2 linked regions of the Caenorhabditis elegans genome follow. The protein of the gene in region 2 interacts with the protein of the main gene of each other region in a biochemical or structural test. Each region holds a gene or a part of one and is shown on either strand. Other genes may lie near its edges.

Region 1 (3,756 bases), on a different chromosome or scaffold from region 2:
AAATGTATTTTAATACATTTTCCCCCTATTCATTTGTGCAGAAAAGTGTAAAAAAACGCATGCATTTTTTACATTATTCGACATTTTTTTACATCGACCGACATCCCATTTCACATGCTGAAGACGAGAGACGCAGAAAGATGTGTGGTATTTCTCCGCGTCTCTCGTCTTCAGCATGTGAAGTGAGCTGTCGTTCGATGTAAAAAATGTCGAAAAATGCATGCGCTTTTTTACATTTTTCTGCACACATGAATAGGGGAAAATATATAAAAAATGCATTTTTCGTCATCATATGAACAACCACATGATTTTTTCGTTGAGCAATTTCAAAAGTAGAGCATACTAGAACGAAAACCAAAATTTCTACAAGATATTCACATTAATGATAATTATATGTGTTAATAAGCATATCTTGAATGAAAAAAATCAAAAAATCTGCGAAACTTGAAAAAAGCGTTTTGGCACATGTTAGATGATTTTTTTTCAAAATGTTTAAAATTCTTTTCAAAATATCTTGAAGCGAAAACTACTGTAACTCTTTAAAAGAGTACTGTAGCGCTGGTGTCTGTTTACGGAAATAATTTATTAATTGATCAAAAATATCAAAAGAAAACACAAAAATGACAAATTAAAATTCGTTGTCACAATTCGAGCATATATTCGTTTCGAAAATCGAGCCCGTAAATCGACACTACAATAGTCATTTAAAGGGTTACTGTATTTTTCGCTACGAGATATTTTGCGCGTCAAATATGTTGAGTAATGCGCATTCTCAGAATTTAGTGTTCGCATCAACATACAAGGTTGGCTGGGAAATGCGTTGACTGGAGGAGATGAATAATTGTGTCGATCCGATGAATGAAGTGCACGCGATCGAGAACGAGATCTTGCTCTTGAGTAGATATCCTGATAAGAAGTGAATGATGACACTGAAGAGACGCTGTCACGGTGAACTCGGGTCGGTGAAGTGTAGCCGGCGGGGCTCAATGCGCGGCTCCGACGATGGCTTGCCGGTGACATTGGACACTCGAATTCGACAGCATTCGAGTCAACACTGGAAAAAAGGGATATTTGAAGGAGATGTGTGTGTGTGTGTGTGACAAGTATTTTCGGCAAATCTACAAAATGGCCTTTTGCGCCACGAAAATTAGTGTTAAAAAATAAATAATCACTCGAGCTTTCAGTAAATAAAATATATTTCACTTCAAATATTTGGGAAAGTGCATAATTTCCGATTTTCGGAGGAAAAAACCGTGCCGGTGGGTTGCAAAATTACGATCCGCCTCTTTTTCCGTGAGACCCTTGCTTTTGCGCCGAACTTTAAAAACCTACGATCTGGCGAGAGGTTCAAGAACTTCAGCAAGTCCTTCGTGTCCCGTAGAGCGAAGAGCATCATAAAACGCGTCGAACGCCACATCTCCCCGTCGTTGCACTGCTTTCACGATCTCCCGTCTCTTCTCGCGAACCGTTCCACATGACTGCAAAAATATTCTTTATATTATCAATTTTTTTTTAAAATTATTATTCGATTAAAAACTCACATTAATCATATCTCCATTATCACTATTCAACACTTGTTTTGCGATGAGAACTTCGAGAATTTCATCGACTTTTAGATGACTAGAGAACATCATAATGTTCCTCTCTAGCAAGCTCCTTCTATCTTGACGCATCATCTTCGGCTGATGGTTGACCTCTCTACTGACCCGTAGTCAGAGTACGATTTGATTTTCGATTTAGTCTGAAAATGAGTGAAATTATTGGAAAAATAGTGTTTTTTTTTAAACATTGTCCTCAAAATTCAGCTCGATTTGAGTAATTTTTATCGATTTTTTTCCTAGTTTTCGTCAAAAACTCCAACAACTGCACTGAACTACGAAAAAAAAGGTGAAAGTCAGTAAAATCGGAAAATTTTGACCCTCTTGAATTTTTTATCTTGATTTCTGGCGAATTTTGGGGTTTTTTTTTGTTAAAATTGTTTTGAATCAGTTCTCTTTTATTTTCGCAAACATAAAACACAATTTTCAATGAGAAATCGTTATTTTTAATTTGAAAACTGATTTTTAAAATGTTTGTTGTGTTTTTGTTTCTGTTTGTCAGCCTGGAAAATATTAGAAAACTGATTTTAAAAATTTTAACAGAAAAATTCACGAAAATTTTAGTAATTGAATTAAAAATGCAAGGAGAATTTAAAAGTCTATCAAACTTTTTGCGTGCCGAGACCCATTGGAATAAATCCGTGCGCCTTTAAAGAGGAATGCCAAAATCTTGTGAAATTATTACGGAAACACAAAATTCAGAGAATGCGTATTACGCATCATATTTGGCGCGCAAAATATCTCGTAGCTAGAACTACAGTAATCCTTTAAATGACTACCGTAGCGCTTGTGACGATTTACGGGTTGTCAAAATTCGAAAAAAAAAATTATTTTCAAAAATTGAGCCCGTAAATCGACACAAGCGCTACAGTAGTCATTTAAAGAATTACTGTAGTTTTCGCTACGAGATATTTTGCGCGTCAAATATGTTGCGCAGTACGCATTCTCAGAATTTTGTGATTCCTTAATACGATAATGTCGAGCCGATTTAAAAGACTTTACCATTTTTTGTAGTTTTCGGTGCTATTATGATAATTTTACGATAAATTAATACTCAAAAATCGGAATTTTAGCGGAAATATTATAAAAATAAGATGTTAGCACACGAAGAGAAAGTGCTGCGAAGAAATCATAAACATTGAGAAGATATTCTTATGGATTGTATATATTGCGTAACAATTTGGAGAAAGTTTTTGGCCGGTTTATTGCAAATTTCGCGGAAAAAAAAGTTTATGATGGGCTCGTAAGCATGCCGATGAGAAAAGAAAGTGGATTGTAGCAGCAGCAATATGAGTCACCCATCTGGACAGTTCACATTTCTAAACGATAATTGAGACGGAGCAGGTGGCATCACGGAAGAGTGTACCGAAAACAAAACCGGGACAAGTTGAGGATACCAAGGACGACAGGAAAATGATGAAATGTGGTACAAAATGAACCGGGCGTTTACCCTGAAAGCTCCTGATCTCATCTAAGATTCCAACCCCGTCATTTGCCTCCATGCACAAATATAATGCGATTTGGATTGTTTAAAGCATTGAAATTGCGACAAAGAGCTATAAAATCGAAAAGAGCATACCAAATGAGATACACACTGCTTTCCTAAGTGGGTTTCGAAGAACACCGCCAAAGAGGTGATGGAGTGGTGGGGCTAAGGAAGAAGGTGCCGGAGAGGTCAAACATGTGGAAATCTTAGGATTGTTTTTGTTTCACATTAATTGCCCTCGTAAATTTATTTTTGGATTTGAGTATCGAAAATCTATGAGCCATGAACACGGAGCGGTGAGGTAAAGGTAAAGGTTTAAAAGTAGTTTTATTAGTAAACTAATCGTTTTTCACATAAACAGTGGTTTTTTTAAACGAAACAATGCAAAAACCAAGGTTAAATATTATAAAATCGACTTCGAGAATCTCAGAATCTTTCTGGCAACAATAAATCGGCGAGCCTTTTCTTCAATTGATGTAATAATTGCTTAGCAACACGTTCAACAAAAAGAACAAAGAAAAAAACGACAAAAGATGACTGCAAGATAACGGAAAAGGAGGCACAACACACGAATGTTCGAACGTTTGTTTTTGGCGGCTGAGTGTGGAGGTCAATGGAGCGCGTTTGCTCTCACAATTCTTTGAGACGCTGCCGCTCGAGGATGAGCATGAA
Region 2 (3,756 bases):
CCAGGTTTTGAAAATGGCTTGGGAAGCAACATCGAATTTAAAACGAAACGTGTAAGTAAGGCCTCGTGAACTAATGGAAAGAACAGCGTTGACAGGTGCTATTCGTCCGCAAAAAGGATTGACACAACTGACTTTTTTAGGAATTAGTGATAAAATCTTCAACAAAAAAATTTGAAGCGGAGTGATGTGTCATTAACATTAGAACATTTAATCGTCATGAAGACGCCTGATTGTAAGTACACCTAAAGTGCTGTGCCGAAACGATAAAAATTTAATATGTATGGTTGAGAATGTCACATTTGTTCGATTGAAAGCTAAAAGTTATACTAAAATTTATACCTAAAAAACTATTGTATCACATTTTTCGGAAAAAAAAAAGTTTTTGTTTTGAATAAGAAACATCTATTGACAAATTGGAAACTCTACGATGAACTAAAAGCAAATAAATATCTTTAAATGAGTAAAATGTGTTTCTTTTACAGGAAGTATAGAAAAATCCTGCGGAACTATAAATAGATTTAGACGGAGAGACGAAGATTAGAAAATACAACAAAAAAGAAACTCGCGTTGTTCTTTTACCAATCGCAACATTTCCTATGTTCTCGAGTTGTCCGAACGATTTTGTGGACCTTATTTGTTTAGCTAGGGAAGTTTGTCAATAGAACTACCAACGAAAAAAATGTGGTAGGTGACGGAGATGAACGAACACAACTAACTTAAAATGACCATAGCTCGCCAATATAGACTTTCAATTCGAAAACTGTACTTTTTGGACAGAGAAAAAAAAAACATCAGGTCAAGAAAGTGCGTAAATGGGTTGGCTGTGAATGAAAATTTAGAAATGGATATTTTTCAAAGCCAAAAAATAATTGCAAACGTAACACGATGAGCATGGCACGACAAAACTCGGTGGCAGTTAACGATCGGTACGGGAATGATAATTTTTCCGCGAGCGCACTAGAACTGAACTCTTATGAGATGGACAGAATGGTCAGTATAAAAATACTGATAAAAGCATGTTCTTGACAGACAATAGCCAACATTTTACAAACTTATTATTTGCTTTGCCCACCAACTTTATTAGTAGTTTATCACTTTCTGTCTTCAGAATTAGGGACTGAAAAGTTATTAGGCAAATTGTACAACAAGAATGTGCTTGAAAAGAAAAAAAATAAGATGAAATGTAATTGGGTGCACATCGAGTGAACGAGAAAAACAAAATCGGCAGACGGAGGAAAAACAATTTGAATTCGATATTCGAATTCGAATTCGCTAGTGTCAACTGAGAATCATGTGAGTGAGAGAAAAGAAGGGCAAAGAAAAACTAGATCATGTTCGTCGTATAGCACGGATTTCCTTTTTCATTCCATTTTTTCAGTTTTTATCCGAATCACTATATTGATAAGAACATTTTTATAAACCACTTCAAATTTGACATTTAAAGTTTTTCCAGTTGTTTTTTGTTACCTAGACGTTTTTTCAAGTTAAACCTAGGTGTTCGAGTGATTTTTTACTTTTGAGAGACGCATAATACCGTAATCAAATCTAGCTTAATTTGAGAAAACATTACTTACCAAAAAAATTGCAGATTTGTCAGATCTGGGAATGGAAGAATGCCCGGCGGACACCAGCGTGGAATAGACGACTAACTGCAGAAAGCGCACGAACGCGGTACTTCGATAGAAGCGGAGAGAGGCGCTTGACGACGAGACGCACTCCCCTGCAGAGATATATTGCTATTTGCCAAACATACAATGAACTGAAGAGACGTAGAGACCTCCCAGCGCCCGAAGCCTATGCTGAATTCGGGGAGAATTTGAGAAAATACAACGAGGTTCCTCCGACTCTCCCCGTTTGCCAGTACTATTTTACGCCACCCATGCCTGCGCCTCCTTGTGAATAAAAAAGAAAGAACATATAGAACGGATCGGCGGGCATGGTTGAAACATCATGCTAGATCAGGAGGTGATAGACACAAAAACGACAGTCGCTTCTTTTGCCGCCGCTCCCCTCTCCGATTCTTTTTCTTCTTCTCAGCCTGCCCCGATCAACCTCAATCGGCACGATGTTGAGTTTCGGCGGTTATTTCTTCCCATTCGTCACTGAGAAAAAAAAAGAAACACACACATGAAAATACATTCAAAAAAGAGACAAAAAATTGAGCACTTTTTTCCGAGTGGTCCGTCCTCCGAGTCTCCAGGGATGCTCAGGATTTTAGGACAACATTTTTTATAGGAAACAAAACCCATGGTCAACACAAGTATTCTTCTAATATCCGAAATATCTTCTTGTGTTCAAACTACCGTACTCCCCTGTTCTCAAGGGCAAATGGTTAGCAGTTCCACTCTTCCGATTGTTGAATTTGAGATTCGCACATTTTTCTCTAGGCAATTCCCTATTTTGAAACATTCTTCATTACACATTCGGTTTTATTTGCCTTCATGGAATTTGTTCTCTAGGCGCACTTTTCTCGAAGAGATCCTTCTCCAAAGAACATTTGTCAGTGGGAGCGGGACGTGTGAAGAAAGATAGAAAACAATGATGATGATGAGGAGGGTTGGAGAAAAGTCCAGGAAAAAAGAAAATAAAAATGTGCATGTGCACTGAGGCTGAGGAGTCCTAGAAAGTCTAGAGAAGTCATTTGGAGATGAGAAGAAAGAAACGGAGATGGGGACGACAAGAAACAGGACCATTTATTTTTGTCTGCCTCTCACCCGTTTTCTTTTGTGTGTGCAACCATGTGATGATGAACATTTGCACTAGTTCCTTCATTTCCTACATTTTGAAGTGACTCGCAATAAGGGGCCGATAAGAAAAATGCGAAAAAGGCCGTTTGATTCCGCATTTCACACTTTAGTTCAATATTCCTTCGGCATTCATAAGCACAATGCACTTATCGGTGCGGGAAAATGTAACACACCAAATTTGAATCAAAAACTACTGATAAGAATTCTCGCTTTAAACAGTCTTCTCAACTCTCATTCTATTTCTCTCTCACGCACTTTTTAGCGTACACTACTGCGTTGGAACCTGGCAAAATTCGGAAAAGGGTGGAAAGAAAATATGATTGCAAATAATAATATTAATTGAAACTCGCTTCATCTTTTTACGTCTCTGGGCACGGCTTGTGTGATGATAGGTTGTCCGTGAACGAGACGACGAACCGAAAGCGCAACGAGGCCTGATAAGGCGGGAAAGATTTGAGAATGTGTTAAACAATATGAAGCTGTAGATTGGAAAAATATAAATAATCGAAACGAAAAAGTGGCTGCGAATCGAGAAGTTAGAGACACGGCAGCAGAAGAACGACCAGTCACCGAATGGAAAGCTCCAAATGCTCAATGATGAGGAGATAGATGTTCTCACAAACCCACACAGATGTACTTTTTCTGGAAGATGAAGGAAAAAGAACAGTTGTCCATCTCCCGCAAGCCGTTCATCATGAGCCCCCCCCTTCTCGCGCCATAGAAATTGTGCAATCGGTATCCATCACCGTCTGTCGCAACACTTTGTAATCCGTTTTGCATTGCCAATTCATTACACTCTTGGTATGTTTCGATATCTGTCTGTGTTCAATTGGGTGCTCTCAAAAATCGACTTTTTGACGTACATTTTTCTGTCTGTTTTCCTCATTTAAAACCTCACGCGCCCAACGCGGTCAGCTGTTTCAATGCTGATTGCATATTGAAATCAAGACTTCAATTTGAATGAAAATGCAAGGGTGGTTTTTTGTATTGCAAGATGGCAAGATGGTGG

Evidence for each region. The genes of interacting proteins can lie anywhere in the genome.
Region 1: of the proteins of lin-14 (region 2) and ced-3, one has a biochemical effect on the other in vitro, tested with the Caenorhabditis elegans proteins (one study listed by BioGRID).

The regions. Positions count from the first base shown.
Region 1 is NC_003282.8:13,202,391-13,206,146, forward strand, and holds the start of ced-3 (Cell death protein 3 subunit p17), read right to left. Parts: upstream 1,748-3,756; 5' UTR 1,677-1,747; coding exon 1,542-1,676; intron 1,479-1,541; coding exon 1,333-1,478; intron 1,055-1,332; coding exon 801-1,054; intron 1-800.
Region 2 is NC_003284.9:11,463,486-11,467,241, reverse strand, and holds the start of lin-14 (Protein lin-14), read right to left. Parts: upstream 1,683-3,756; 5' UTR 1,575-1,682; intron 67-1,574; exon of another isoform or gene 1-66. UniProt on the Caenorhabditis elegans protein: Heterochronic protein which controls the choice of stage specific cell fates. Involved in the temporal progression of vulval fate patterning, possibly by inhibiting lin-12.